Struthio camelus: one gene and its partners. The main gene of each other region encodes a partner of the protein of the gene in region 2 in a complex. Links are inferred from orthologs where the notes say so. Each region holds a gene or a part of one and is shown on either strand. Other genes may lie near its edges. The genes, in order: VPS72, ING3, MBTD1 and ANP32E.

What was found.
Region 1: ING3 (region 2) and VPS72 share a complex: the UniProt entries of both Homo sapiens proteins name them as parts of the nuA4 histone acetyltransferase complex. The link is inferred for Struthio camelus from reciprocal best matches to the Homo sapiens genes ING3 and VPS72.
Region 3: ING3 (region 2) and MBTD1 share a complex: the UniProt entries of both Homo sapiens proteins name them as parts of the nuA4 histone acetyltransferase complex. The link is inferred for Struthio camelus from reciprocal best matches to the Homo sapiens genes ING3 and MBTD1.
Region 4: ING3 (region 2) and ANP32E share a complex: the UniProt entries of both Homo sapiens proteins name them as parts of the SWR1-like complex. The link is inferred for Struthio camelus from reciprocal best matches to the Homo sapiens genes ING3 and ANP32E.

The regions. Positions count from the first base shown.
Region 1 is NC_090971.1:35,410-42,904, forward strand, and holds the start of VPS72 (vacuolar protein sorting-associated protein 72 homolog), read right to left. Parts: upstream 3,039-7,495; 5' UTR 2,425-3,038; coding exon 2,308-2,424; intron 1,393-2,307; coding exon 1,240-1,392; intron 846-1,239; coding exon 728-845; intron 571-727; coding exon 391-570; intron 289-390; coding exon 147-288; intron 1-146. Other genes in the region: putative PIP5K1A and PSMD4-like protein, read left to right, coding at 3,169-3,226. UniProt on the Homo sapiens protein: Deposition-and-exchange histone chaperone specific for H2AZ1, specifically chaperones H2AZ1 and deposits it into nucleosomes.
Region 2 is NC_090942.1:26,308,833-26,316,775, forward strand, and holds the start of ING3 (inhibitor of growth protein 3), read right to left. Parts: upstream 3,095-7,943; 5' UTR 2,899-3,094; coding exon 2,871-2,898; intron 2,700-2,870; coding exon 2,628-2,699; intron 1-2,627. UniProt on the Homo sapiens protein: Component of the NuA4 histone acetyltransferase (HAT) complex which is involved in transcriptional activation of select genes principally by acetylation of nucleosomal histones H4 and H2A.
Region 3 is NC_090960.1:7,139,544-7,147,637, reverse strand, and holds the start of MBTD1 (MBT domain-containing protein 1), read right to left. Parts: upstream 3,168-8,094; 5' UTR 3,097-3,167; coding exon 3,022-3,096; intron 2,972-3,021; exon of another isoform or gene 2,652-2,971; coding exon of another isoform or gene 2,631-2,651; intron 711-2,630; exon of another isoform or gene 522-710; intron 1-521. Other genes in the region: UTP18 (U3 small nucleolar RNA-associated protein 18 homolog), read left to right, coding at 3,379-3,681, 3,820-3,950, 4,055-4,150, 4,819-4,898, 5,140-5,225, 5,765-5,890, 6,786-6,960, 7,287-7,387. UniProt on the Homo sapiens protein: Chromatin reader component of the NuA4 histone acetyltransferase complex, a multiprotein complex involved in transcriptional activation of select genes principally by acetylation of nucleosomal histones H4 and H2A.
Region 4 is NC_090971.1:2,784,394-2,792,278, reverse strand, and holds the start of ANP32E (acidic leucine-rich nuclear phosphoprotein 32 family member E), read right to left. Parts: upstream 3,249-7,885; 5' UTR 2,997-3,248; coding exon 2,943-2,996; intron 460-2,942; coding exon 310-459; intron 1-309. UniProt on the Homo sapiens protein: Histone chaperone that specifically mediates the genome-wide removal of histone H2A.Z/H2AZ1 from the nucleosome: removes H2A.Z/H2AZ1 from its normal sites of deposition, especially from enhancer and insulator regions.

The DNA of each region.
Region 1 (7,495 bases), on a different chromosome or scaffold from region 2:
CACAGGACTGGAGTGCAGAGTTAGGGAGTCGAATGTGCCTTTCGAAACCCACTTCCCCCTCAGTGTGACGGGACAGAGCCTGGGGAGCAATCTGGAGTAGGACCTGACACCGGAGGGGCCTAGCTGCATGCTGTGAGGCAACCTACCCCTCTACATCCACATTCTCCTCCTTGCCCAACTCTGTGATGAGGGGCATGGTGACGGAGCAGTAGCGGATGACAGGCCCCACGCACTTCCGCTTCTTCTGAACCTGCTTCTTCTTGTCGGCCTCCAGGCGCTCATAATTCTCTGCAGAGGTGGGGACAAATGGGGTCTCAGCACCTCACTGATGCCCTCACTCACCAGCCCACACCACTTCAGGGCAGCCCCTTGGCACTCTGCCCCGCTCACCCAGGGAACGGAGGTTGATCTCCTCTGTGATCTTGGCCTCCTCCAGCAACTCCTCCTGCGTCAGCGGGCGGTCATAGTTGGGGCCACCCTTCTTGCGCTTGGACTGCACCTGCCGCTCCTGGATGCGGAGGAAGGTCTGGCGCGTGTGTTCTGTCGTTGACTGCCGCATGTGCTTCCGACCTGCCGTGGGTGGACAGGAGTCAACTGGGGACACCTGCTGGGCCCAAGCCACCCTGTACAGCCTGAGCCAGACCCCAGTGCACAGCCCAGCTTTGAGAGAGGCTTCAGAAGGACCCATTTCCGGCCCACCCAGGTGGATACATCCCAGCCCACATACATTCACTGTCTCCCACTTCATCCTGGAGCTCCAAGGGGGTGGATTTCACCTCTCGGGCCTTTTGGGAGCTACTGCTGGGAGTGTCCGGCTTCTTGGGTCGCAGGCTCTTGATGGGCTCCTACAGGGATCAGACATGAGGTGACATGAAAAAAAGAGAAAACTTCCCTCCCCGCTAAGGTTTCGGCCTTGTTTAAACAAGAACCTGTTCAGGGACCACACAGTGGTCCCTGCTGAAGCACCAACAGCCCCAGAGAGGAACATCCCCCCCTCACGACGAATGACATTGTTAATAGCAGCAGCTTTGTTAGCTTTTCTTAATTATCCCATCTTTCCAGGAATGCCTGTATCTTCTCCGAGTAGTTTGGAGGTAGCTCAGGTCCTCCCAACACCTCTGCCCTTTCTCAAGGACAGAGCAGTGATGTCCTGGTATGGGTTGGTGCCTCCCGGGACTGGGATGGGGACCCAGGAGTCCTGAGCCTAGTCCCATCCAGACAGCCCCGCACGCCCCTCACCCTGTAGGCCTTGGTGACGACGCGGCACCGCCGCTTGGGCTCGCTCTCGTCCTGGTCACTGGTCGGCTCCTCGCCCTCATCGATGTCGAAGTCCGAGTCCACCTCATCATCGCTCTCTGACTGATCACCCTTGTACTCATCATCGCCTGACTCCTGCGGGAACAGAGAGGCCGCGTCACCCCCGCAGGGCTTTGCTCCCCACCCCATGTGGCCCTGAGTCCCAGTGCCCTCCTGCCCCACGGGGGAAGTAACCCTGTCTCTGTGGGGGCAGCTTCTCTCAGTGCCCCCCCAGGCAAGAGACCCTCCTGCTCCTCGCACCTCCCTGCTAGCCCCCATCCCCTTCCCCAGACTTCTTACTATCCCTGAGGGTCTCTCTGTGACCCCCATACCACTTAAAGCACTGGGATCCCCAAGCCCCTCACCTGCCCCCAAGCCCCATGTGCCTTCCCCTAAGGACTCTCAATACCCACTCAGAGCCCCCCAAAACACTCAGCAGTTCATAAGCCCTCTTTCCACAGCTCCAGGGCCACCCATTCCTCCCAGGGCCCCCTAAAGGCCTTTAATACCCTTCCAGGACCATCTCAGACTCTCTCAAATACACTCCCAGGGCCTCCCACCCCAGCCAGTGCCCCCATAAAGAACTCCCGCAACAACCTCAGAGACCTGTCATCCCCCCCCAAATACCCTCCCTTGGCCCCCCCAACCTTACCAGGTCTCCCACAAAGGCTTCCAGGTCCCCCCAATGCCCTCGGGATCCTCTCAGACCCCCCCAAACACCCTCTCAGGGCCTTCTGTCCCCCCAGTGCTATTCTAAAGGTCCCCAATATCTGAGGGCCCCCTCAGACACCCCCAAATATTCTCCCAGGATCCCTACTGCCCTGCAACACGTCAAATCCCCCCAAATACCCTCCCAGGACCTCCCAGAGTCTCCCAGCACACTCAGAACCCCTCAGGACCTCTAAAATACCCTCATAGGGGTCCTTCAGAGCCCCCCAAAGCCTTAAGAGCCCTCTCGAGCCCCCCTAGACCACTCCAGTGCCCCCTCAAAGGCTCCCCTCACCCCCACACCTCGGTGAAGCCGCCGTATGTGGTCTGGTAAAACTCATCCTCCTCCTCGGCCTCCAGCAACCCCGAGAGGCGGTTCCCAGCCGTGCGCCGCGGAGCCCGACCCTCCACCAAGCTCATCCCGCCGCCGCCGCGCTCGGCGCGCCGCTGCTCGCCCTGCCCCGCCCGCGCGCCATGGGCAGGCCGGGCCGAGCGAGCGCCGAGAGGTCGATGGTGCTCGCGCTCCCCCTAGGGGCTAGAAGGAGGGCACTGCAGGGTGCGGGTCTGCGGCGGGAGGGCTCCCCTCTTAGGTATAGGGCCTGGAGTAGGCTTCTGTGTAGGGTATGTGCCCTGCGGGGGCTCTTCTGTGGTGTCAGGAGTGTGACGTCACCGCCGCACCCTGGCGTGACGTCACCCGCGGTTCGTGACCCTCCCCCCGCGGCATTGTTTTGGCCCGCTCGTCCCATCACGTGACTCATGGCAGCCTCCATGCCTGCTTCATTCACCCCCTCCCCCCCACTGACGCGCATGCGCCCTACGCAGGCCCCTCCCGCCACCTCCGCCAAGCACTGAAACAGGTGGGGCCGCCGCCCTGGGAGGACTCTCCCCCCCTCCTGCCCCGCGCCGAGTGGTTGCGTCCGGGGGTGGAGGAGCGTCCAAGTGGGGGGGGGGTGAGGGAAGTGGTCAGCCGCGCGGGCTCTGCGTGTGGGCGCCGCTGTCCCTCCCGCCCGCTGCCGGATGGTGCGGTCCTGAGCGGCGGGGCGGGGCGGAGCAGGGCGGGCGGGCGGGCGGTACCAATCAGGAGGGGCGGCGCGGGCTGAACGCAGGCTGGGGAGGGGGCGGGGGGAGTGCGCGAGCCGCCGCAGGAGGAGGGCGCGCACCAAGATGGCGTCGGCCGGGCCCGAGTCGGGGGGCAGCAGCGGGAGCAGCGGCGGCTTGGCAGGTAGGGGGCTTGAGTGGGGGATATGGGGAGAGGGCCGTGGATGTATGGGGCCGATTTGGGCTCTGAGAGGGGTGAGGGCGGTGGGTATGTGGGGCTAGGCTGGGCTGGACTTGGCTCTGGAGGGGATGAAGGCCGTGGAGCGTGTGGGGCTGTGATGAGATGGAGGGGGGTGATGGCCTTGAGGTGTGTGGGGCTGGAGTGGGTTCTGGAGGGGAGTGATGGGTCTGTGGGGCTGAGGTGAGCTCTGTGGGGGAATGAGGCCCGCGGGCTTTGTGTGGCTGAGGTGAACTTTGAGGGGCAGAGGGTTGTGGGGATGAGGGCCGTGGGATGGAGCAGGCTCTGAGGGGTACTTAGGGCCGTGGGGTGTGTGGGGCTGAGAGGACTTAGGGGGTTGGAACGCTGTGGGGATTTCTGGGGGAGCGAGGGCTGTGGGGTGCGTGGGTTTGGGAGGGGCTCGGGGGAAGGGGAGGACCTTGGGGGCTGTGAGGCTGGGTGTATACAGGAAGGCACTTGGGTCTTGGGCTCTGCCCGGTGTGGGGTGGGAGGGGGAAAGCTGGGGCAAGGCTCTGGGGGTGCTGCCTGGGGCTCAGGATGTGAGGCAGGACTTTGGGGCAGTCTGGTCTCTGGTGCTGTGGGATGAAGTGAGGTGTGGGGGAGTGTGTTGGGAGGGGGGAGGGTGAGTTGCGGATGAACTCCCTGCAAGGCATAGGGGAGCGAGAGCAGGAGGGTTATGGGGCAAGCTCTGAGTGGGCTGAGCAGCTGGCTCCATGGAGTGAGCTGGGGTGGGAATTTCTGTGGGTGTTGGGAGTGAGGTCTCTGAAGGGCTGACCCTTTTCCTGCAAGGCGTTCATAGGTGTGTGGTGAGGGTCCTGTGGGCATGAATGGTGGCAGGTAGGGGGGCTTGAAGTCTTCCCACAGATAGGTAGTGGGGGGGTTCACAGAGACTCCTGGGGAGGTGGGATTGAGTTACATTTAAGGGGTGTCCTGATGGGGCAGGGAGGGTGGCTGAGCCCCCTACAGTGGGAACCCAAGGGGTTGTTGTGAGGGAAAGTTGACTCTATTTTCCCTTATATTGCTAAAGCCTGACCCCCCCAAGTCAGGTTGCCTTCACAGGTGGGGGCAGTGGGTGCTGGCTTCACTTACTCAGCTGCTAGAGGGTGGTGGTGGGGAGCTAGAATGTCTTCCTTCAGGCAGGACTGTGCGGTGCTGGGGAAGGGGGAGGATAGCATCTCCCTGGCAGAGGCACCCTCTTTGCTGTGTCTGGTGTTGGGTAATGTGAAGGTAGCTCATCAAAGCTATTTAGCACCTGTGAGATGCAAGATGATATGGGAATGTAAACATCTTCTGGTTAGATTGGTTTTAATGACTAGAACTAGGTCTGGTAGAAGACCTGAAGGTTTCTCTTGCTCCACTGATTTAAATTGCATTGGATCTGCAGTCAGAGGGTATCAGCTAATTTTAGCTGAAGCAGAAATATGCTGGATTCAAACTGGACACAGTTCTCATCCAGAAGAATCCAGTAATGATAAAATAGGGATGTGTGGAAACCATGCCTGGGATAAAATAAGGTACTTCTTGGTTCTTGAACCTGCAACTCTTCTTCCTCCAGAATTTCATGGCTAATGTTCTTGCAGAAAGCAGCTTTCTCATGCTAGTTCAAGGCTAGAAACAGCAATGACTATCTAAAAGCCTTTTAACTTGCATTTGGTAAAATCCATCCAACCTTCCTGAGTTGCTCTGTTGGAGAGCAAGGAGGGTTTTTATTTGTTATAATGCAATATGCTGAAACTTTCTGGTCAGCAAGAAATCTCTTGTGACTTGAATTGCAGCAAGGAAACAAAACACGAAGGAAGGCTTCCAGCTGAACCTCAGCCTCATTGACACACTGAAAGCACCACGTGTTTTATACCTTAAGCCCCACTGTCTGCTACCCGGGGTGTCTTGTAGAAGCCTTTAGGGACGGATCCCAATGAGAACCATCCCTAGGACTCCCCTTTGTAGCTAGCAGGCTATGTATGTGAATCCCTGGATCCTGGACACCACTGTAAAAGGGATTATTTTAATCGTTGCAGTGGAGTCGATGAGGCAATGTTGTCCGGGTGTCACCTGGGAAGGCTGTGTGAGGGTATTAGACTTCCTGGGTTCTTGGATGTGATCATTGGATGGTTTTGCAAATGGATCTCTGACATGTTCACTTCGTATTTGTTCACCTTATGACTAGGCATGGGAGAAGTAGTACCTGTTGGTCTGATGGAGCCAGTTTTGCGAGGAAGAGATTACTTAGGTCTTTTTTGGCTACGACAGTCATACTGTCTCAGCATAGAGCATAGCATAGCTCTTGCCCACTGAGCTCGGCATAGGCGGAGCATTCAGGGGCTGGACCCTTGGGGTCTTTTCCTTGCCCTGCTTTGAGGCTTCCTTTGAGATCTTGATCCTTTCCTGTGCTTGCCTGTTTCCTATTTTGGAAAGGAGGAGCTTGCTTCAGAAGGCTCTTAAGCTCTTGAAACCCTTCAAGCCCTAAGAGAAAATATGCAAATGCACAGGTAAATCTCTTCTCTCTTCCTGTTGGAATAATTGCCATTGTTTGCTTCTCAGGGTAGCTAGGTGTTGGCTAGCACACATTTCCCACTGAATTTGAATCCTAATTATTGCAGAGCCTCAACTGTGTGAGGTATGTTCACCTTGGTTGATCCCTGCTGGCACAGGCTTTAAATCTCTGCTTTCTGTTGTTGGTCCCATCTCTGGGAGACTTGGGTCCTCTCTAGTCGGTAGCACAGAGGAATATCTTGTGCGTGCTGAGCATCACCTCCCTCTGGGAGGAAGTCCCTGACTGGGACTGCTCTAGGCAGGCTTTGGGCTTTGAGTAGGAACTGGTCTGCAGCTTCCTGAGAGAACAGGTAGAACTGGAGATAATGAGAGCTGTGAGCTGCTGTCCTTGCATGGCTAAGGAGAGGGATCCTGAAGTGGGAATCTGGCTGCCACTGCTAAATGGGCTCATCAGCCATGTGTTGGGTAACGTGGCTGTAAAAGAGCTGTCTCTAGAGGGATCCCACTGTGCCTATCCCTCTCCTAAAAGGTATCGCACAGAGAGACCTGGCTTGCAGCGCCTGTGTTTATCATTACCTTGCAGTCCTGCCAGGCAGAGGCATTTCACTGTCTTGGCAAACGCGTTTTCCCATTCTTGCATTGTAATAACAAGGCCAGGAGCAAACACCAGGTTAGAGCAATAACTAGTGCTTTTGTTTTTGCCCTGGGCAGAGGCTGGTAGGGCACCAAAATCAGTCTTGGGCCAGAACATGGCAGCTTGTTGCTTCAGCTTGACTGTGTGAAGGCTTCAGGTACGACTTGCTTACCCACCCAGCAACCCCTTCAAATGCCAACGGAGCAGCTCTACAAAAGGCAGAGGACTGCCAGCAGACAAAAGGAGGCCAGTGGTTGTTGGTGGAAGCCTGTTATTTTGGACATGAGGTTTTAAATTTTCTCCATGGTAAACCTTAAACCATCTCCAGTCCTGCCATGGCTTGTTGAGGCAGTGTCTACCCTCAGTGCACATGCTGCAGTTCACTCTGGGGCTGATTACTGAATGATTCTGAAACTCCCTCCCTTTCCTCTTCCCAGGCCAAGCAGGCAGTTTTCCTTGACTGCTCTGGAGCCCTGCCTCAGCATGTGTTTAACTCGCTAGGGAAACACCCAAGAGGATTTCTCATTTTGCTGCTTTCACTTTCAAGCAGCATGCACCAAAAATGCTAATGTGGGATTTCAGTTGTTTGATTCTTTGTGCCTCTGGTTCAGTGACCGTTTTATAATTACAGATCTGAGCGAATTGAGAGTTCATTGTCACCCTGGCTTCGGGCCCCTCCCTGAAGTCCACAGACAAAAGAATTGCTCTCCAAATGGCTCAGTTGCTTCTAGGGGCAGAAGAATTATCCCGATACATCTGAAATGAGCTAAGAGCAGGCCTCTGAACTGCTAGGCTGTAAATATAGGTGTAAAACCTCTAGGAAGTCTCATCCACCCCACTGTCATATTCCTGCAGGAGGGGCATTGCTTTCTGGATCCAACCTAGTGGAAGGAGGAAAGATCATATTAAACAAACATCTGAATGGCTCATTATCTTTAAGCTTAAAATAAGACATCAAATGACTTCTCAAATTCTGTCTCTCGGTTATAAAAGTCTCTCTTGCGGTCTTCCCGAATATCAATTATGAAATCTAAAACAATCTCTTTGGGTTTTGTGGATTGGTATTGTAAACCAGGTCCTGTTGTCTA
Region 2 (7,943 bases):
CCAGACACGAAAAAAAAATTTCCCTCTTTACTTTTTACTGAGGACACCTTTCACTCTGTGTGAAATTGCATATGTGAAAACTTTCAAAGAAATTTGGACTCTCTTGAAAGGTTAGGACTGTTAAGGGGGAAACACAGGAGAGAACCTATTCAATTATCCAAAGGTTCTCTCTGGTATATGTAAGTTCCTTCAGTTTTTCTGTTTCTCCCTCTGCCCCCTTCTAAGCCTACTGTGACACTACATTCTGACATAATAATTTCTTAGAACAGATTTCGCAAGGGAGTTGCCAGAAATTCTACTAGAATAGAGAACTTTTTTCCCAGAGCTTGACATTTTATCACGGAGGCCTGATAATCCATGACTTGAACTGAAATAGATAAAGACATTTTAAGCTCCACATGTAAACTGTCTTAGTTGGACATCAACAGTCAAAGTCACAACTTGGATGTTCTTCCCTTTCCCACAGGTATTATCAAGACGTAAAATAGATACAGTTGGTTTGCCTATACTTATTCCAATGACAAGAAGCAACACCTGTCCCTTTAGAAGTCCATGTTCCCCACAAAGGACAGACTATAAAGTCAGTATCAACTCTGACAGTAGTGCAGTTATCGCTTTATGACTCTTGTAGTTTTCTGAGACAGCATCCCTTGCATAAATGCTGTTTTCAAGGCCGTCAGAGACACTGAAGCTACACAGAAAGTCACTATTTCACAGCATCAGAATAATCTGGTTGATACGGAACATTCAGCTGGCTGTCTGGCAATTGACATGGAAGAGATGAGAGTTCTGGAGTTTTGTAATGTCTTGGGATGTTTTGTCACTCATTGTGCAAGAATTATTGAAGTACTACGGTCCAAAAGAGATTTGTTTTTTTCAATCTGGGCCTAAGGTTGAACTTAGTATAAAATACTTAGTGTCATTTGCCATTTCCAGTTATGGCAGAGGAAACGACAGTACTGCAGCCTTGGCAACACTAGTCGGCTCGTCCTGAAATACACTTTAAGTACTAGCTTTGTTTCCATACTCAATAGAAGGCAAATTTGTGATCTTATTTGGAACTACCTAAGCCCACGAGCTGCTTCCTTCCCTCTCCTGGTGCTCCCTAGTGACACTTACTTCATAAATGTTATCTCCTACTGCTCAGCTCCTGAGCCACTGTTCACGTCCTTTGGCTTTGGCATTGAAGCCAGGATAGCACTTACACCACAGTATACAGAAAAACTTATAGCCAGTTCAACACACATTAATAAAGTCTGTCAAACAGACCAGCTGGAATCATTAAAGTAAATACCTCAGATCAAGCTTGAGACCTCACTTGAAAGGATTATAGGTCAAACTATTGTTTGACCTATTGCACTCCTAGACAGCAAAATATTGTAAGCATGGTGCTGCATTTCATACTACTGCACTGCACCAACTTGTTACTTCAATCCTTGTTCTTTCTCTCTCTCATTCTTCCTTATGATTGCCCAGTCCTTCTGTATTGATGAATCCTCGCAACTTTTGTCACAAAGAACAATTTCGTCAACAAAGAGCTTTGCATTATGGTCATGACCATATTAATTGTGTGTTAAATGACAGCAACACCTAACTAGAGCCAAAGAATCCTTTAGCATCCTGACATAAGTCATAGATGAGACCAAAAGGCAAGGAATCCTGAAAACAAAATTAGGCAGCATCTGAAATCAGGATATAAACACAAGATATACAAAAAGATCAACAGAGAAACGTAAAGTGGACGTATATTTGGTAAGTGCCAGCTAAGGCACAAGAGACTAGGCAGAAAACATTTTCACATGTACAATCATGAGGGGAGATGGCTGGAAGGTTTCAGAAACAGCGCACAGCGACCTGCTGGAAGAGCGGGATAAAACTCATGCTCCAACCCACCACCACTGCTCTTAGGAATCAAAAGTCTAAAGAGTTTGGGACATGCCACCGAAAACGCCTTAAGGAGCGGCACAAGCCCAGGAGCGAAGCTCCTGTCAAATCCTAGCTGCGCGGAGACGGCGCTGTGAGCGGCCGGGCGGCTCGGCGGGGCCGCGGCTCGGCCCCGCTCGCTGACATAGCGCCAGGCGCGCGCGCTCCGCCCCTCGCTGCGTCCCGGCGGCTCCCCGCGCGGCGCCGGGGCTCCGCAGCGCCGCCTCCCGCAGCCGCAGCCGCGCCCGCTCCGACAGCGCCGCGCCATCGCTCTCCCGTAGGAGAAGACGCCAGGAGCCCGGCGCGGCGCTGGCTGCCGGCCCCCCGGAAGGGGCGACGAGACGCAGCCGGCCGCGTGGCGCGGCCCCCCGCACCGGACCGGCCTGCGGCGCTGCCGGAGAGACAGGGCGTCGGGAGGGGAGGGGAGGGGAGGGGGGCGAGCCACCCGCGGGCCACCGCGCGGGGCGGCGGCGGGGAACGGGGCTGCCCAGGCAGGCCGCAGCGCCTGCCGCGGCGCTGTTTCGCCCCCTCTTCTCCTGCCCCCGGCGCGAGCGAGCCGGTGCCCGCGGCCGCCCCCCGCCGGCGGGCCGGGCCGGGCCGGGCCGAGCGGCGCAGGCGGGCGCGGGGAGGAGGAGGAGGAGAGGCGAGGGGAAGCGCGGGAGGGGAGGGGGCGGGCAGAGGAGGAGGGGGCGGGACTCACGTACTCTGCACCTGCAGGTCCATCTCGCGCATCTCGGTGAACCTGTCGCGCAGATCCATGGGAAGCTGCTCGATCACTGCGGGCACACGGAGGGGCGGGGGGGAGGGAGACGGGGAGGAGGGAGGAAGTCAGTCACCGCCGTGGGGGAGGGGGGGAACCGCCTCGTCGCCGCGGCTCCCCCCTCCCCGCGGCCCCCCTCCGCTAGCTATGCCCCGCCGCCCGGCATCCCCGTCCCGTACACACTCACTCTCCAGATAGTCCTCCAGATACAGCATGGCGGCGGCCGGGCGAGCGCCAAGGGGCTTCTCGCTAACGGGGGCTCGTCCCTTCCAATATGGCGCCGCCGCCAACAACACCAGCAGCTCGACTCAGCGAAAACAACATTGGCGGCTGACGGGGCTCGGCTCGGCCGCGCCGCAATTGGCTGCCCGCGCCTCTGACGCACGCCGTGCCTCGCGCGCCGCCGACGGCATCACGGGAAATGTAGTTTCTGCCCGGGGAAGGGCCGGGAAACTACGTGTGCCATGATGCACTGCGGCGGCCGCTCCTTCCCGCCCTCCCGTTTCTGCTGGCGCGGTGGGGGGAGCTGGGCGGGCGGGGTGGCGGCTGCGGGGCGCCGCGTAGCTACCGCGGGCCGCTCCGCTGCCTCCCGACCCTTGTGCCCTGCGTTGTCACTGGGGGTTTCTTACAGCCCCAGGTCCTGGAGTTTAATGTTAGAGTCCGTGCGCTGTCTTTTCGCCAGAAAAAGAGTAGTATAGATAGTAATAAAAGTTACAGGTATAATGGGATATCTGTGGGCTTTGGAATTGCTCTTTAGTGTAGAAAAAATAATTAGCAAATAGATAGAAATGAGTAAGTTACAAGGCTTCTTATTGTAATTTACTTGTTAAATGTTTTGAGCTGAAGTTTTTCCGCAGTTTCAATCCCCGGAATACCTTTATTTCATCGCTGTTTTATCATTAATTGTATTTCCTGGTCTAGTCATGCGCTAATGCGTAGAAGACAGTGATTGTTTTTGTCCAGATGTTCCTACGGTGTAATATGGTTTTTGATGGTGGGGAGGACTTTTCAGGGAGTGGGTGATACCGGATGTAGATAGAGGCAGCGTAAGAATTGCCATACCAGAAAAGACAAGTTTTCTGCCATGTTTGTTATCTTTTCGTTTGGTCATCTGCGCCATATGCATCCAAGCAAGGAAAGGAAGTATATGGCTTAGCCAAGTGTGAGAAAAAAACAGTGCAGGATGTTTTTGAGTGTCAGGATGAAGGGAAAATTGCATTCTTTTCTCATGTTTTAAGTACATATGTTGTGAGTAATTAGCTAAAAATGATTTAATTTTGGAAGCTGGAGCTTAAATTCTGTGTGTGGCTTTTATGAAGATTTTCATTTTAGTTCTGTCTCAAAAACATAATATATAGCCAAGCATTCTTTTATATTCCTACCTTATTGTAAATGAAAAAAAAAAAAGTATAACAATAACTATGAACTTCTTGGAAAAGTGTTATACCTAAGTGGTCGCTTTCCATTTTCATTCCATCAATTAGCTGTTTGTTCTGCACTGCTGATACAGAAGTATTGACTAATGTCATAAATACCGCTGAACAATTTTTAGATGCAGTTAAGCCCAGTAAGTATCAGTCAGGAGCAATAGTTGAAAGCATCTGCACTCTTTAAAGTACAAATTTTAACATGCTGGTATAGGAATGACAATGTTTTTGAAGTTCTGTGTGAGAAATTGCTTGTGCCCCTGTTGTTATGTGGAAGACAAACGCTCTGATCCTTCCTGGGAAATGAATCGCTACACTTCTATTAAAGTGAAAGGGTTCGATGTGGCAAGATAACTTAGCGTATTCAAATGCACAGCTAAAGTAATCATATCCTATTTTCATTAGGAGAAAAGGATGGTGAATTTAGGGAAATCTGAATTGATGGGGGTCACTTTTTTCGTTTTCAGTGATGGCTTTAATGTTCCCTAAAGACTGAAAACAAAATTTTATAGTAGACAAAATGGATATGTATGTATACATACATATCCAACAGATATTTAAGAGAACAATATTGTACAAAAATATTGTACAAAACAACTCCACCATTAGAACTACAACTGAAGCACAGTTATATGGTAAAGTCTCACCATGGTGCCCCATGACCGAAATCACAGGACAGCCAGGATGCTGGGACTTGTAACCGTCTCCTGTGCTGAATTTGCTGCATAATAACTCTCTCTTTCATGCCTGAGTTTGCTGCGTGCCTGAGTTTGTGGGCTTGGGGAGAGTCAGCAGAATGCTCACCAAGAGCTAGTGTGATAGGGTGTTTTCAAATATTTCCTGTGTACTGTGGTACCCAAATGAAGCAAACTAAGAAACACGTTGCTTGAGGCTGGGTCTCAGTCACTCCTTTTAATGCTAGCGTTTGCACCGTCCGCATGAGTGGCAAGGGAAAATGGGACTCAGGCACGCCAACAGAATGACAAAGACAAGATTCTGGTGGGGCTGGACCCTGCTATCTCCAAGGCAGGAGTGGCCCCCTTTGTGTTTTAGTGGAATGTGTCAGCAACTTTTGTAAAATTAGGAAGCTTCTTTAAAAATCATGCATTGTAGTGCTTTACAGCAGGGGATGGGAGGGGATAATGTAGAGTATGAGTGAAAATAGAATTTAGCTTTGTTCAGTATTGAAAAGCAAATATGAACTCCTTTATCTATCTGTAGTCTCTTTTTTGTACAATTGGAGAAATTGTCACATAGTCCATTTCTGCCGGTGTTAATTCACACTGTATACTCAAGTGTATAGCCAACCAAATTCAGTGGGATTGTGTGAGTAACTACTGCTCATCATGGCAGACTGACAGAACAGAGTTTAAATTGCCACTTTAAGAAGTGATTAGCCTTAAAGGCCGTACAAAAGGAACAATATTTTTACAGTGAAAAGCTTCCTATTGTGTATAAATGTAAAGACCTGACTTTCAGAACAGCCTAATTGGAACAACCTATTTAGAGCAGCTCCTGATCAGGGAAAGAGGGATTAATGACAGTGTTTATTGGGATGCAAATGCATTTAAAAAAGAAGTAAACACTAGCTGTGAATTCAAGCTAAAAAGAAATTCAATTTGTGAATTGCAATCAACATTGTTCAAAAAAACCTTCCATATAGCAGTAGACATGCTTAGCATAGAGGAAAGAATGGAAGCCATAGGAGTTGCTGTTTCCTCCTGCTGGTATAAACTGTAACATTATTAATGTTGATGGCCTTTGTCCTGCAAATGCTTCACATAAATCATGTCTCATCACTTGTGGCAGAATGATGGCATAAAGGAATATTGCAGTTGCTCTGTGATCTACCTAAAGCTAATCGCTTGCATAGGTTTCATTAGTTTTCAGCTGTCAGGAAAGAAAAAAAGATTAAAAAACATGGATTTATGTTCTGATGTACATTTCTTAGATGAGGCTCAGACTCTTCTGTCTTTTCCCTCTCATCTGTCCTTTCCCATTCCAGATCTCTGTGATGTCTTTTTTTCCATAATTCTGTTCTGTCACTTCCCACTTGCAGGCTTGTGTGCCAAGTCTCTGACTTCCTTCTGTCCAACTTCCCGTTCCTCCTCAATCAGTTGTTCTTTCCATTCACTGTCCTTCTCCTATCCATTCTGTCTGTCTTGCAAGCTATATGTTTTTCAGGGGCTTTCTATACCTATTCGGGAGTGTCACTGTTGCGTAGTTTCTTTGGTACTTTGATTTTTAACTCTTACCTAATCCAGTGTTTTTAAACCTATAGTCCTTGTGTTTTGCTTGTTTTTTCAAGGACTGTTTACTAATACTTTGATTTGAAAAAATCAGGAAAGACCTATCTAGCCCATCCCTAGACTGATGATCCTAGGTCTCAGCTACTGCTGGTAGGTTTGTGCGCTTTGAATTTCTCATATGGGAGTCTGTCCCCTTTGCACACAAAGACTGCTAACATACAATGTGAAGCAAAAGCTCTTTGTTACTGAGGTCTAGACTGTGCTCGCTAAAGAGCTTTAAGAGACAGTGACAGCCAGCCAGCACTAAGTAATGGTGCAACAGAGCCTGTGTACAAGTACCAGCCTAGGCAGCTCTTAAAATACTGGATGCGAGAATTTTGCTTTTCTTTGGCACTGCCCCGTTTGCAGTACAGCAGTCCTATCTGGCGGAAATCCATTCACCACGGTGTGCTGCAGCGAGCATTTGCTGCCGATAGCAACATTCCTAGCAGTTTACAGAGTTTTGTCTGAATACCAGTGTTAGCATCAGGCCCTTGGTCTCCTTACAGGCTTTCAACTACTTTATTATAATATTTCCTCATCTGTTTGTTGCCTACTCTCTTTCTGCTGCTGTTACCTTTCCATTCTTTCCAGACCTTCCTCTCTTGCAGTCCAACTGTCCCTCTCAGCAGCTGTGGACCTCACCATCTCCCGTATTCTGCCCCTTCTTCTTCCACAGCCTCATTCTCACTGTGCAGGAAATAACTGTCATTCCAGCTGTACTATACACCCATGGCTATGGAGGACATTAGTTAAATTACTAAATTGTCTTGAGACTGAGTACCATGTAAAGGTTACAGCATGATCGTATTTGTTCTGGGCAATCAATTTTATGTAATGGGAAACTCCATCCAAAGCCAGATCCTAAGAAAAAGCAGGGTGAGACTATCCAGTAAATAATGTTACCCTTGTCTAGGGCAGCAGTATGCAGAAACTTCACACTTCTGTGAAATGATCCTCAAAAGGGCAAATTTGGCCCAGAAGTATTGTGGTTGCGTGGTAATCTATCTAAAAAAATCACTTTCCATTTCTACATATTACAAACTCTTGCAAATTCTGAGATTCACACTCCTATTTCTGGAAACAAATCCATGACCCCAGATAATTAATTTACTTTTAACAGTCAACAGGAAAATGGAACTGCCATTTGTCTTTCAGCTTATGTTTGTGTACTGACTCAAGCAATTACATCTTCATCTTTTACCTAATTTTGTCTGCTGCAGGCTCAGTTAAATTTACTTGCAGATTTCTGTTATTTCCTCAAAAGTCTGCAGGATATGAGCAATCACTGTTTATATATTAATAACTGAAGTGTTCTTATCCTGACTTCCTAAGGAAATAAAGCTTATATAAGCATGCTGTGTGTCTGTGTGCACACTTTTTTTTATCTGTCCTTTCACTCTGCCCTCTCCCTCTCTTTTGAATTAACTGACTAATTTCAACCAATCTGAAAGAGAAGTAGTAGTTCATCTCTAAGAGAGACGAACAGTGGTTGATCCTTAAAGGCTCTGTTGTCCCTAGTAGTGTTCTTTCGTTCCTTTCACT
Region 3 (8,094 bases), on a different chromosome or scaffold from region 2:
TGACAGGAGTATGGACAGATGGCGTTGGAGGCCAAGATCAACAATGAGGTCATCATAAACTTCGAGTCAATTGTATGTGCTAAGATGTATTTACTTCAATCACACATCCTTATCAGATCATGCATTTCCCACAGCGTACTTCCAAGTTCATACCAAATTCGATGCACGGCCTTTGTTTTCAAAAGTTCATTAATGCTTTATGCTGCAAGTTTAGTTTTAGCTCTGTATTTCAACATTAAGACACCAAGAAGACAGAACTAATTCATTACAACTCTTCTGAACTTCACCTAGCCAAAATAATTTAGTGTAGTAATACTAGCTTGCCCCCTGTGGAACTGAAGAACTAATTGTGTCTCAGAGCATGACAAAAAAGGAAAATTCAAACACCATTTCAATTTTAAAGAAAACATACTTTCAATTTTCATTAAAAACAAACAAACAAAAAAACCCCAAACCTAAATGTTTTGGGATTCCTGGAAATTAGAACCAACCAAACTTACTTTTTTATAGAAGCGACTCACCTCTATCTGGAAATGTGCCTTCCACTCTTATTACAAGTAAAATCTCAGCTGGAAAATTACAGAAATGTTTTTTCCTGTCTCTTCATTTGCTATGTATGACAGCATTTTGTCTGAAGCCAGTTTCTGCTGTTTGCCAATGGTTTTGTCCATAGCCTCTTCCCCAGGGGGTTTCACACAAGAGGGGAGACTCTTTTACAAAAAAATATATCAAATTAGCAGGCAATTTGGAGGGGGAAGGAGACGTAATATCTGAAATATCTGAGTTCTGAGAAAACTCAAGATGTGTTACAAATTCCATTATGCTTCTACAAAACCCTTGCACGCAGGAGTTATCTGGAAGACATGAAGTCTAGAAGTCAAATACTTGGTTTTCAACAATGCATTACCATTAAAAAAAATCAATTTATAGGTTAAAAAAAAAAACAAACCCAAACCCTGGAACACCTGAATTCCTTCTACGTGCCAAGTGCCAGATTCAGTAAAATATCACACTTGCCCAGCATGTACTGACTTACCTGAGAAACGAAGGTATGCAGTAGCAGTTTGCAGAAGGTATCAAGAACCTTGCAGAATTAAACCAAGTTTTAAAAGGTAAGAAAAATGAAAGCCAAGGGAACTTTTGTACATATTGTTGTCATTACTGCTACAGTCACGTAGTTCTTCTGAGAACCACAATGAAGAGAACCCTTGCTTTCAGCTGACAACCCTGTTGCACATGCACTATGCACTCTCAAGACCAAGATCTAAACTATTCTTTAGTGTAAACAATGACTTCCCGCTAAGAAAAAATACACCTCTGCTACGCTTTCCAATAACTTACACTACTCACTTACTCAAAACGATCCCTAGTTAGAAGCAACTAGTAAAGGCTACTGACTTACCAAGTTTGGTTTTTGTTTAAGAATATCATTGTTTTAGCTCCCATTTAATGTTCCAGATTAGACTTTCTCCTAAACTTATTATTCCATTCCTTATGGATCAAAATCAGGCTGTTATAAACGACTAAAAAAACTCCAAACAAATAAATACAGCATCTCCGACCTGGAAAATAGCCTTCATTTAAAACAGAGAAGACTACCCTGCAGCTTTCAAAGCCGCAACTAGTTTTAGAAGTTAAAAAATCACAAGGGCTGTCACCCACGTTTTAAAGTGTTATTTTAAAAGGAACTGCTTTCTCACACGCAGTAGCTTCTACCGTAATCAGCAGACGCTTTATAGGGCGATTCTTTTTTTTTTTTTTTTAAAGTCACACTGGACAGAAATTCCTACAGTTTAAAACACTTCCACCGCCAACCTGAAAGCGAAACTGGTTTCACGAGTTTATTGCTCGCGTCCAGAACAAAGTCAAAACATCAACAAGCATAAAAAGGATATTGACGGGGCCACTGGCTGCAAAGAACCCGCCGCTTCTGAAGTGCCGGGACTAAAGAATACTCTAAAGCGCTTAAAGTGAACGCGACGGGCAGACTAAACCTTAAAAGCGGTTAAGGGCAAGAGGAAGTTACTGAGAAAAGCAGCGCTCCGACAGACCCCTCTGAGGACGCGTATCCCAGCGAGCCTGAAGCGCTCGCTACGAGACAGACCGAAACTTTTTGTTACTGGCTCTGGCTGCCGGCAGGGACATAAAGAGAAAGGCAGGGGGGAGGCCGGAGGGGGGGCGCCGCCGGACCACAACAAAGGGGGAGCCGCCGGCCGCCCGCCTCCACGTGCCCGCAGCTGCGCCGCGGATGACAGGGCTGCGCCGCCGCCGGCAGCTCCTGCCGAGCCCCCCCCCGGCCCCCCTCCGGCGCCCCGCAAACTTCGTGCGACGGCAGCGCGCCGGGAGGCGGCAGGCAGCGAGCCCCTCCGGGCGGCCGGTGCCTCCCCCCGGCGCTGCCCGCCCCCGCAGGGGCTCGGCGCTGCTCTCCTCCCACACAGGTGCCCAGGCCGCGCAGCCCCCTCCCCCCGGGGGAGCGGGGGGGGGGGGAGGCGGGGAGGAAACACCGTGAGGGAGGAGGGGGTCGCTCAGCCCCACCGGCCCGGCCCGCGCCGCCTCCCTCCCCTCAGCGCCTGGCCGCAGCGCTGCCCCCCGCCTCAGCCCCCCGCGGCGGCGGCGGCCGCGGGACTCACCAGGTCCTTTGTGTTTTCCATCAGGCCCTCATGGGCAGGAGGTGCCCGCTGCCTCTGCCCCCTCCCCTCGGCTCGGCCCCCTCCGCCTGCCGCCTCCCCCTGCGAGGGGCCGGGCCCAGCGGGGGCAGGAGGCGGCCTGGAAAGTTCAGCCTCTCACTCAGCCGGAGAAAGAAATTCAACTCCCTGCTCCGGAATATCAACAACATTAGCATAACGGCACTGCGCACGCGCGGCGCCCGGCCCACCGCGCGCTCTCATTGGGCTCCCAGCTGTTTGGGGCTCCCTCGCTCGCCGTACCCCCCCTGGGCGAAACCACTCCGCAAAGGAGGGGGGGGCTCACGGCATATTAGCGCATGAAAGTTAAAAGCGGCCCGGAAGGGGCTTGTTTTACCTTCTCGCGGGTGACGAGACACGGGAGGTTGCCGCCAGGCTGCCGCTGAGGAGCGGTTATTGCCATATGGGGCATGGGACCCCTCTATGTTTGCGATGGAGCGACCTGGCCTCGGACCTCATCACGTGAAAGGCGCGGGGGGGGGCGGAGAGGAGGAGGAGGAAAGGAAGGCAAAGAAAGGAGGTCACGTGACAGCGCCTTGGGTCCACGACAAGCGGGCCGAGTCACGGGGGCGGAGGAGGGGCAGCAGCGCGAGCCTATCGTGTGAGGGGGGCGGGGCAAGGCGGGGGCGGTATAAGGGAGTCACGTGGGCGGCGCGCACGCGTTCCGGTTCCGGCTGCGGCGCTGTGAGGGGTGATGGGGCGCGCGGCGGTGGCGGCTCGCGCCGGCCCGGCGGCGGCGGGAGGGCAGCGGCGGCCGAAGATGGCGGCGATGAAGAAGAAGAAGAAGAAAAAGAAGATGGCGAAGCAGCTACAGCCGCTACAGCCGCGCGCGGAGGCGGCGGCGCAGGAGGCGGAGGAGGCGGCCCGCCGCGGCCGGCACTTGCGGGCGCTCCGCGGGGCGTCGGGCGCGGAGCGGGCGCTGGAGGAGCTGGTGTTCGGCGACAGCCTGGCGGCGGAGGAGGGCGAGCTGCTGCAGCGCCTGGCCGGGCCCCCGCCGGTAGGCCACGGCCTGCCCTGCGCGGCGAGGCGGCGCCTTCCCTCGCCGTCCTTGTCCGCCCGCTTTCCCGCCGCCCTGTGAAAAAACGGTGCCGCCTTCTCTGGCTGGGTTAAAGGGGGCCTCTTTGGTTGTTTTCAGCTTCGTGCCGCCGAGGGGAGAAGCCTTCTGAAAGACTCCAGCGATTCGGAAGTGGAGAATGAAGCCAAAGATAACTTCTTATCGTCTAAGAAACCAGCCTGGGTGGATGATGACGATGAGGCTGAGGAAAAGTAAGTTAAAATTTGTGGATAGGAAATAAGGACGATGCTTTAAAGAACTAGTACAAATGACTTCAGTTTAAGTAATCTGGGTGCTTCTTATGCTTTTTTCCTAGGATTGATATGACCCACAGGTATAAGAAAGATATGATGAAAAGTGATGCTGAGAAGATACTTAGTAAGAAAAAACTTAGGCAAAGACTTCAAGAACAGTGAGTTTCATTAACCCTTCTGTAGCTACTTCTAGTAACGTAAGATACATGCGTGTGACCTTCAGAGTACCTCTTCTTTTTGCTGAATTCATGTAGATGGTTTAAAGTTATCGTGTCTAGCAATATTTGCTGTGTTTAACTCCAAAGTAGTATTAAGAATAGCAAATAAGGCTTATGAATACACTTTTCTATGGACTAATTTACTTAGCACTTGTTTTAGTAGAGATGTACAAACTTGTGTTCTAGGGAGCTATATCAGAAAAATCTTTGCAAGTAGGGTGATGGGAGACAGTGACTTAGGCTAGGTGATTGGTTTCTACTTAATAAGGTATGTTAGAAAGAATGAGCTGAAATATGGATATAGATAGATAGCAAAGCACTACTGTAGACGTGTTTGGGCTGTCTTGGTACTAGCACTTATAATTCCAAAGAACAGTATTGTCATGTTTAGCACCAGTTACACTTTAGTTTCATGTTCTAGGAGTCCGCAAAATACCTTATAAATGCCAGGAGTGAAGTTGTGAGGGGGAAGGAAAACTTGCGTTGTGATTTTATGCGCATATCACCTCGCACAATTGAGGCTGACTATCATGTAAGTTGCGCATAGAAGGAAACTACTTTCTCAAAAACGTCCTTTCCCACTTGCCCCCTGTTTTTCTTCTCGCTAGATTTCAGCAAGCTATGGGAGGAGTTCCTGCCTGGGCTGACAGAGGAAGTAAAAAGAAACACAGAAAGACTGCAAATGACAGTAAAGAAACTCATTATGATTATGAAATTATGATTTTAATATGCTTTTGTCTGCTCCCCTATTCAACTCTTTAGAAAACAATTTTCAGTGTCTCTCCAGTGTGAATAAGGTGATAATATGTGGGATAAATTGGCTTTATCCCTTCGGTGTGCTTTTATTTCTTGTTGCTTCTGTGGGGAATTTGTAGGTTTGTAGGAAGTGTTTGTGAAATCAATCTTTTCTATGTGTTTTGTTTTAATAGGTGATAGTGATGAAGATGATGATCTGCTATGCAGGACTGGCAATTTCATATCAAACTCAGAGTCCCTGCCAAGAGGTATTTTGCAGGTAAAGGCAAGCCTATCTTACTTTTACCTTATTTTGACCCCTATACACATTTTGACCGCTTTGCTGTTTGGACAATAATGTTTCTGTTGGTGATTGTATGGATTTTTTTCCCCCCGTATAACTTAGAGGCCTAAATATTTCTACTTCAGAGAAATTGGGTAGGAAGGATGGAATTTTCCCACAACTCTGAGGTTGCTGAAACGGTCTTTGATACAGTAAGAAATTAACTTAATCTGACAGCCTTAAGAGTTTTGTATGCTATCTGATCTGTGTTCCAGATTCGTTGAAATTTAACTAATTTTATATAAATTGCATTAATTCAGAGGTTGGTAGAAAGGTTAATTATCTTGTATCTATGCTACTGTAGCAGCACGTTTTCCCTGACTTACTGTGTATTCTGCTTGTCTAAGTTGTCTAAAAGGTCAGCATAGTGTGAGGTCTCTTGCTTTGTAGAACAAAGAGAAATTAAATTGACTGACTACTCACCAGCATAAGCAAATACGTGTTGTTTTTTTTTAACCGCTTGATCTCTATTATAGATGAAGAGCTGCTTGCCTGCTAATCAGGAACGCCTTGCTGGTGGAAAACTTTCAACAGTGCAATTCCATCCTTCTGCTCAAGTTATCCTCACTGCTGGACGCGATCGATCTGTGTCACTCTTTCAGGTGAGAAATTTTAATATATGCAATGGAAATAGCAACTAATATTGAATGTTTTTTAATAAATGTATTTTAAATGTGTTTTAGCTGGGGTGGGGTGGAGTTGCTTGTTTTTACCTTTTTCCTCCTCTCTTCCTGTGATGGCATGTGGATGTTTTAGAGATTGTAATGTCCTTGTGTCTAGAGTGGAATTTTCTTGACTGAAATTTTGTTCCAACAAAATGCCTTCTTCAGTGGCCTCATGCTAACTGCTTATAGGGTATAGGCAAATTGGTTTTGTCCAGATTTTTAGTAAAGAATTTTTTTTAATATCTTTGGTTTCAAGATTGTAGTGACTAGGACTGATGTGATTTTTTTTTTCCCCAAGTTTGTCTTGTTTTTTTAAAAAAATAATAATTTGAGCAACAGTAGCTTTAAATGAAAGTGGAGAGCTCAAAGCATTTTTGGAATGGAGAGACTGTCCTGCAGCAGGAAGCTACTCATCCTGGGACTCTTCTGTCACGCTCCTCTGAAATGTAAAAGTCTATTTCTCTATTCAGGGACCAGTGAAGTGGTCAAAGGCACAAGTCAAGCTTGACTCCCACAGGTCTGCAAGAGCGAGCAATGTGAAGGAAATGATGTCATATAGGAAAGCACAATATAAATGATAATTAAACAAAACCTGGGCATGGCAGGAAGGCTGAGAGGTGTTTGGAGTATGTGCAAGGAGGGTGGGAGTGCCTGAGGTTAGGGTGAGGAGTTAAAGCCAGGTTGTTTGTAGATTGGGAAGGTAGGGAGATTAATACTTCAAACGAGTGTACCTTTTGCTGCATAAGTCTCTTGTACTGGCTAGTCAAGATTAACTTTTTTTGTGTAGAAAGACTTCATATGTTCCTTAATGTATTATCTGTGTTTTTTGAAGGTTGATGGTATAAAGAATCCAAAAATACAAAGCATCTATTTAGAGAGTTTTCCAATCTATAAGGCTTGTTTCAGTGCTGATGGAGAACAAGTTATAGCCACTGGTACCCACCATAAAATGTTCTATGTGTATGACATGATGGGTGGAAGTATTATTCCTGTACATCAAGTAAGAGGTACGTTTAAGTGTTAACATTTTAACTCTCTGGGTATAGTTGAGATTGTCCCAAACAGAGCTGGCATATAAATCAACTGTAAAAGAAAGTGCAGTAAACCATTGGTGGTACGGTTATTTGTCTTCAGTGATTTTTACTAGTGTGTTTAGTTTTAGTTTGAATAGTTGTCACACAAGCTTAAGGTTGAGTTGTACCTTTCCTGTGGCAGCCTATGGCAGAAATGAAAAGTTGAAGTGGGGTCAGGTCTTTACTCATGTTCATCATAGATCTGAAAGCTGAAAGAGAATATCATGCCAGCTTGAAGTTCTGAATCCCTCTTTTTAAAGGTATGGAGGAGAAGTTTGTCAAAAATTTTGAAGTGTCTCCAGATGGATCATTTATGCTGCTTACTGGAACTTCAGGTTATCTTCACTTGCTGTCAATGAAGGTAGGGTTTTTTCATGACTCACTTTGCCTCAGTTTCTTGGTACCCTTTGCCTCCTGAATCTGCTTGCTTATCTTTGATCTGAAAAGCCATCTGGCTTTTTGACTAAAACAGAAATATGAGACGTGCTGACAGCCTCAGAAAATGAGGTATTGTGTTGTCTGGAACTGTAGCTTCAACAAATGATTTTGGGATGTCTGAGAACGTTTTGCAGACTACGCAGTTCTCTTTGGGACTGGTGATAGAGCTAAGGCCAGGGTTTCATAGGCTTTTTAAGCTTTGCTGGAAAGGTGTCTGTCTGTTTCAGCTGGTGCGCAAACACTGTGCTGTCAGAAAGAATGGCCTCAATATGGAAGCAAGTGGCTGAGGGTAGGGGGAAATAGGACTGCTTTCCTTGGGAATTGTGGTAGGTTTAATGTGTTCATGAATCATGCTAGCTCCTGGGGTTCGTAAAGCATACAGATTTTTTTCAGCTAGATTTCAAATGTCATTTGGCAGCTGGATTTGTTTCAGATTTTCGTTAGGAAAAGTATTCTTGTCAAAAAATGTTCAGTGCTGTTCCTCAATGGGGACCTCCCAGTGAGGGACCCAATGAGCCTGTATTGAACTAGTTCTAGTTGGAGATCCATGTACACCCCGTTTATTTTACAAGGCCTGTAGGTAACTTGGTTCTGAAAGAGTGTTAATGCCGTTCTTTTATTGTCAGCTTA
Region 4 (7,885 bases), on a different chromosome or scaffold from region 2:
TACTTCAGTGGCCAAACAACCAAAAAGCCTGTATCAGTCATTAAGTATTCATAAAGATATGGCCAACCTGCACATTTTTAACAGACAAGCATTTACTGTTCTAAGAGTTGTTGACCAAGAGTAATTTGAACATAATGAACTAGAGATGCCCCAAACCATTCTACATCTTCCAAAAAAATGGAGATTGGCATGGATACGCGGCCAGTGATATGCAAATTAAACTGCAAATACCGAAAGACACAACAAGTTGCACTGCTCGTGATTGTCAACGTCACAAGTCACGCTGTTTTGCGGAGCAGAGATACGTACCTTTCGGAGCTTACTCAACGTGGGAAGTTTGGCCAGCGATGTCAGCTCTACGTTGGCCATGCTAAGAAACTCTAGCTCTTTAAATGAGTCATTCAGACCTTCTATTTCACCATTGCTGGATCGGCAGTTATCGAGCACCAACTCCGTCACCTTCAAATAGGATATCAAGTCGCTTGTCAGTTTAATGAGCATCACTAAACCGTGCACTTCGCCTAACCACAACTCGAAGGCTGTTAAACACCTGGTGTGTATTTAATTTAAACCAGAATTGAAGTTATTTGCGGTCTGAAGTCACAGCACCCGCCTGTTTTAAAAAGGTATGCAACAGTTTCCCTTCTTACGAGCATGTTTCAAATGCTGCAAAGACAGCTATCTAAAAAGAAACTTTAGCGTACTGAGAGCCATACTTCTATGGCTTCATATAGTGCCACCACAATATGGTGAAACAGTGTAATCCTTTACATAAAAACATATACGGGAATTGTGAGGTCAGATCACAGAGACAGTCCATCAAATATAACATCCCATTTCCAGTAAAGGCCTGATTACACTGAACAAGAGGAAAGAGCAAGATCATGTAATTTGGGTAGCTTGAGATTCATCTGCTCTTTTTAAGGAGGGGAAAAAACCTTCCTTTCCATCAGTTAGTGGTTCACTTATATACCAAAACCTTGACAGTATGCACCCCGACTAGTTTCTAAATTCTAATAATTGTGCGTATTCTAACGCCTAAAGCCATTACATTTCTTTTTGAATCCTAAACCTTCCGACTTCAGATTATTTTAGCAGTGAGTCGTGCAAGTTAATTAAGCATAATTAAATAACTTTCTTAAGCCACTGCTCCTAAAACAACTAGAACGTCTCATACTTTGAGAGGAGGTAACAAAAAGCATCCAATAAACTCTGCATTATTGTATACGTTATGGAGTATACCACTCATTAGAAAGGCTGTTAACAACGTGACTATACCTTTCCCCAGCATGCACTTAAGTAAAATTTTAAGACTGCCTTCTCGTGTTGTGGAGGGAAATTAAGTATTTGAACTCGTAGCACAATTTGTCAGCTTCAAATAAAGTCTCAATGTTTTCTTTCTTATTTTTCTTCCAAAAAAAAAAAAAGGCAAACACAGGTTTTTAAAGAAACCTGCCAAGGGAGAGGGGAGCTTGATGTCTTAGGCTACAAGATAACATGCATCTGCCAACCTAAAAGCGTTATCTCGGCCTTTTAAGATACCTGCCACAGCGCACGGACCCACACGCTGTTCAGTTGAATAAACGGTTTATGCCCCCTCTCCTTTTTTTTTCCCCTCCTCCCCCCAAATTCCCTACGAGGCAGGTCAGTCCCTCAGGCTGAGTTTAAAGCACTTTGCAGTATCAACCTCTCTGGACTTTACTCTCGGGGCGAGCAAGGCAGCCGGGTCAATAGCGTTCTTCGCCGACCTCAATGCAAAAAACATCTGTTGGGGGCACCGCTCGTCCGCCGGACAGATTCGCCAGCAGGGAAGCGGGGGCTGCGAGCCGCTCAGCCTCCTCTGCGGGCAGCTGGCGGGGCCGTCAATGAAATTACTACAGGGGATTAACTCGGCCGCCGCACGCTACCCCCCCCCCCCCCAAAAAAAAAAAAAAAGAGTAATTGCGGAGCTAGGCTTTTTTTTCCCCCCACGCTGGGCAAAAGCAGCGAGGATCCGAGCATGAGAAAGGGGTTTCCCCCTTCACCACCCGCCGCAACTCCGGCCTCGGAGGATTTCGGCAGCCGCGTCCCACGGGGAAACGCGCAGCCGGTGGCGGCGCCGGAGCGGACTCCGCTGCTCGCCCCTGCCGGCGGGCGAGGGGAAGCCGGGGGGGGGGCAAGAGGGGCTAAAGTGCGATGTAGCCGCCGCTCAGGGCTTTCACCAGCGGCTCGTGTGGAAGTGAAGGGGGGGGGGGGGGGACACACACAAGTTTCGCTGCGAGCCCCGGCGGTCCCCGCCCGGAGCCACGAGGGCGGCGGGTGCCATCGCCCCACGGGCCGGGCGGGACCCGGGGGAGGAGGGGCTCAGCCCAAACGGCCTCAAACCTCACTGTTTTTTGGGTTTTTTTTTTGGGGGGGGGGTAGATTCTTGGCGAGGGGAAGGGGAAAAAAACCAAACAAACACACACACACACACCCCGGGAAATCCGAGCCGTTTCCGACGCATTCGGGGCAACGATGCCGCGGTCACACGCGCCAAGTTGAAAACAAGGCGAATTACCCCCAAATTTAAAGAAAAAAAATGAGTAAAAGTTGCGGGATCGCACGCACGCGGCGGTCTCTCCCCCCCACACACACACCCCAAACTTCGGGGGGGAAGGGGGGGGGGTCCGCGGCGAGCGAGCGCCCCCGAGACGCGGGCGCGAAGTTGGCGGCGAGGGCCGAGGGCGGGGGGGAGGCGGCTGCGGGCGGGGGGGGGGGGGGGGGGAGCAAGTCGCCGCCGCAAACCGCCCCGGGGCCGGCGCCCGGAAGCGCCGCCCGCGCCCGCGGGGCTCCTGCGCCACGGCTGACCCAGATTCGGCGGCGCGGCCGGGCCGGGCGGAGGGCGGCGAACCGCGCGGGGCCCAAGCGGCGCCTCGCCACCCCCCCCCTTCCCCCGGCGCCCCCGCCGCCCCCCCCCTCACCTTCTCGGGCGCGCGGTTCCGCAACTCCAGGTTAATGCGCTTCTTCATCTCCATCGCCCCCCCCCTCCCGCGGCTCCTCACTGGAGAGGGAGGGTGGCCGGGCGCCGGGCAGGACAGACCCGGGGTCGCTGTGGCGGCGGCCGCGAGGGAGCCGCGAGGCGGGACGGGAACTCGGCCGGCAGCCGCCGCCACCCCCCTGGCCCGCGCGCAGCTCCGGCCCCGTCAATGGCCGCTCGCACACTAAGCCTCCATGACATGGCGCATGGCGCCCCCTCCCCGACGCCACGCCCCCGCCGCCGAGGGGGGGCGGGGCTTCCTCCGCGCCGCCGGCATTCTCATTGGCGGCGGGCCGCGGCCGGAGAGCGGCGCCCGATTGGCTCGTCGCGGTGCCCGTCGGCGGCGCGTCGCTTTAAAAACAGGGCCGGCGGCAGCGGCGGCAGCGGGGGTGTTGCTTTTGGGCGTGGGGGCGCGCGCGCACGGGGTGGCGGGAGCGCGCGCGCCGCGGGGTGTTGCACGGGGCGGGGCTGCCCGCCGGCCGCGTTTTTGCGCTGCCGGTTGCACGGGGGCCGCTGCCGGCGGGGTTTTGCCCGTGGGATTTTTTGTATGGCCGGTTGCACGGGGGCGCTGCAGGCGAGGTTTTGCCCGTGGGTTTTTGCTCCTTCCTCTGCGTGGGGTGGGGGGTGCAGGCAGGGTTTTTGCACGCCTGGTGGCTCAGGGGAGCTGCAGGCAGGGGTTTTGCACGTGGGGTTTTGCATGCCCGGTTGCTCAAGGAGGCCCTCTAGCTGGGATTTTACCTGTGAAGTTTTTACTTACCCGTTTGCACAGGCAATTGCAGGTGGGGTTTTGCATGCCCGGTTGCCCAGAGGGCTGCGGGTGAGGTTTTGCACAGTGGGTTTTTGCATGCCTGGTTGCACAGGGCAGTTCTAGGTGGGATGCTGCATAGAGGGTTTGCTCAGCTGGTTGCACAAGGTGAGGTTGCAGGCAGGGTTTTACATGGTTGCATGTGGGGATTGCCCCAAGGGTTTTGCCTGCCCGGTTGCATGGAGGATTGCATGCCCTAGGGTTGCATCTGTTCCTGGTGATGCAGAAGGGAGGCAGGACATGGGAGCAGACCCTTTGCAGCTTCGCTTTCCCCAGCAAACCTGACTCTGAAGCTGCTCCAGTGCATACTCTGCATGCACCATAACTGCAGGAATGCTTCCTTGGCTTGCATGCTGCAAAGTGGTCTAGGGGCTTTCTGAACACTGAGCAAACTAAAACTGCCTGCAACAACCCATAGGTCTTGCACTCATGCATGAACACCCTGGAAAGCTCACCCTGACCATGTCGCTCTTGCTGGCTTCCAGTAGCTGTTAATCCCAATCCCATAAATCCTGACTATATAGGAAACCATTGACTTGTTCCGCTCAGCGTGAGTGCCCTGGTCTAGGGCCAGCACTGCAAAAAAGACCTCGCCAAAGCATTGGCTCAAGTTAAAATTTGGATCCTGCCACCTTGGGGCCTTGAGTTTTTCCAACCGTTGATGCCCGGTGCGCTGGTACATGGTGCTGCTGTGGGATGGACTCTTGTGCTGTGTTACTGATATATTTTCTCATTTCCTCGAGGAAAGAAGATGCTGATCTTGGGCGACGCTGTGGCAGGGGCTGAGGTGCCAGGTCGGACGGTGGATGGAAATGCTTTGCCCGAGGGGAGGCGTTAGGTGCTGGCCCCGACGGACAAGAAACTCTAAATATTTGTGCGCTGCTGCTTTTAACTGTGTGACACAAATAGGCAGAGATGTTTTGGCAACTTAGTGTCAAGACAGAAAAACCATGGGAAATCTCTGCTGGCATATTCTAGTTTGTTTAAACTTGGTGAAGAAAATTTTTCTTGTTTCATATGGTGAGTGTTTGTAGGCTCCGATTTATGAGAACTCGGGACCCTTTCTCTATGACTATTGAAGAAAGGGGTTACAAATGCAGCCAAAATGCCCAAGTCTTGCCAATCCTGGGATGTGCTCGGTCTGGAGGGTGTTTCGTTTCAGCCGATCTTATAGAAATTCACCCACTAATGTGGCGAAAGTAATGTCTCGAGAAAATCTGTTCCAACGCTACAACGCTTTAGCTAAAATTGCAATACATTTCTGTGCTAGCTGATGCTGAGGTGCTTTGTGTGCTGCCTTTGGTTTGGAAGTGAGCGTTCCTTCGCGATGCCAAGGCGGAATTTAATACCAGCAATATTCCCTAGTTATACGATTTCCTTATTGCTGCTTTCACGTATCTGCTGGGCTTTAAACCATGTCCGTGATCTGCCAAGATTGGCATGACCCCTTTGCGCTTGACTTTGAGCGTTTGGCATCCCCTATACCTTTTGGAAAGCCGGATTAAAAACTGAGGTGAAAATTGGAAAAAGCATCTTGAACTTAGCTGATCAGTCAGAAAACAGAATTTGTGCCTATGGGGTCGGACTACGGGTTCGTTTGCAGGCACCCAGGGCTGCTTTTGCTGAAACCTGCTTGCTCATGCTTTGCACAGGAAAAGTGCTCTGGGAGGGATGCCAAAACTTAAGAAAAATGAGTGAAATAACCAAAGCAGGATTATGCTTTACATTTCAGCTGCGTTTGCTCAGCGGAGGAAACGGTTAACATTCGCAGGGGCAGCAGCCTCGTCCAGGCCGGGTGCACCAGGAGAGCCCTGCTTTAAGGCCTGGCGTAAGGTCAGGACGCGGTGAGTGAAGGCAATAACTTGTGAATAATACATGCAGGAGGCAATTTTCAATCCTCAGTAATTGTGGAAATCGGCACAAATGAGTTTCCTTCCTAGAAATTCTGTCTTTAGTGTTAATGGGTTTCTAAAAAAAAAAAAACCACACAAGCTCATGCAGAGCTCTGCTAGCTGACGGCTGCCGCTGCCCAAGCAAACTAGTTTAACCAGCTGAAGTATTTCTGGGCTGAAAACAGCTGTGTCCTGCTTTTCCAGCCCTGTCCACCTTAGCGGTGCGAGTGTTAGCAGCAGATCGGCGGAGCGCAGCAACCCGTGCTGATGTGCAAAGCGCAACTGTGGGGGTTTTCCCCCTCTGAACAGCTCCAGTCTGCTCCCGGGGACCGAGCGCCTGTTTTGAGGCTGGGTTGCATTAAGCGCATCCGGAAGATGCATGTCGCATCGTTGCGGGAGGAATTTCAGTGGGTTGGGCGCAACAGCGGCAAAATGCAAATTGTGATCGTTTTGAGGAAAAAACAGCCAATGAGGCATTGTGCATTTTGGGTATGTCACTTGTTGCATGCTGCGTGTGCCGATAGGGGTTCCTGGTTCTGGAGGATTTGGGTAATCGTGCAAAGAACAGGTGCAACGAGATTTGTTCCTAGAAGGGTTTGCTAAGCTGTTGGGATACTGCAGTGTTGGGGCTGTGATTCAAAAATGGAGTAGAGCTTGAGGGACCTGGTTTCTTCTTCCACAAAGATAAGTTAGATCGCGGCGCAAGAAATAATATATACTCGCTAATGCGCATGTACTCGCTATGAGATTTTTTTTAATAATGTCAGTTTTGGAAAAGAGATGAGATTACTTCCAATTTTTTATTATTACACTTTCTATAAGCTGTCACTAGCGATGCCGGGGCAGTGCAGAAGGTATTTGTGCAAGGGGGAGGCAGGCAGGAATCGGCCCCCTTCGGCCACGTACAGGCTTTTCTCATGCGTGGTCTGCATAAATCACGGATAATCACTCACATCTCTTGCAGGAAGGACCGATTATTCATTTAATCGCCTGTATCTCTCTAAATCTGTGATGGTAATAAGGCAAAGGCGTACCTTATCTTGATGGAGCAGCTTAAGTATTGTTTTGCCCTTTCTTTGTCCGTTTTTAAAACGTGCTGTAAAGCTAACACCGGTTTTGTTGTACAAATTACCTTTTTATGCCCTGTGTAGTTAGGTTTTACTTTGAAATCTAGTACTTTGGGGAAGAGCTCGAGGGGTTCTGGTCTTTGCTGTTGGGGATACCGCCGTTGGGTAACGATGCTGGTGATGTTCAGTAATAAACTTGGCATGTCACAAGCTTCTTGCATATATTTCATTTTCACTCAGTTTTCTTCATTGCAAGGTTAATCTCGGCTCCTGAGCAAGTGGTATGTTTGGAAATAGATTTACCGCTCTTGCAGGCAAAGATTAACACTGCTTTTTGACTTTTACAGCAGTTCCTGGGATAGTGCGGTGAAGAGCCAGGAGGTGGCAGTGGCTTGCAGCATATTTCAATCTCGCCAGGGCTCCTGGCGCTTCCCTGCAAAACACTCCGCTTCTACTTCGCACCCCCGAAGTCCCTTTGATGTCAAGCCGGGTAACCTCCACAGTATTTTCTCAGCCCGTTCCCTACTTGAGTAGTCCCTCGCAGCTCTTTGGGAGCGCTTTCTTTGCTCCCTTCTCGTATTTTTAGCTGCTTCTTGAAACTTGTGTCACGCTTGCAACCGCAGACCGCATCGGTCCTTGCTCTCCATCACCCGTCTGAAGCACGTGTGGTGGCACGTTTTCCCCTGGCCGGGGTAGCTGTGCCGATAGGAGTCCTGGTATGGACTTGGGTTTCCTGGCCGCGGGGCTTTCTGGAGCGCTTTGCTGGTGCTGCTAGTAGTGATGGATGCAAGACATTTGGTTAAGAACAATTACGGAAAGTAATAACTTAGACTGTACGCCACGCTTCAAGTGCTTCAAAAGCCTCCTTTTGACAGGATGAGTCCTATGCAAGTGCATTTCTTTTGTTTTTTTCCCTATTCTGCTCTTGACCCAGGACTGCGGTGTTTCCTGAGGATTTACACCGGTGGAACAACTGGAAACAAAACGTTGCTGTTGATCGCTCTGCAAACGCCGCAGGGGATGGCTCCCGGCACGGAGACTTGGTCTTAAAGCAGCTCGGTTAAAGTGGTGGCCTGCAAGAGGGAAAGCGGCAAAATCTGCATCTCGCCCTGAAGCTGCTGAG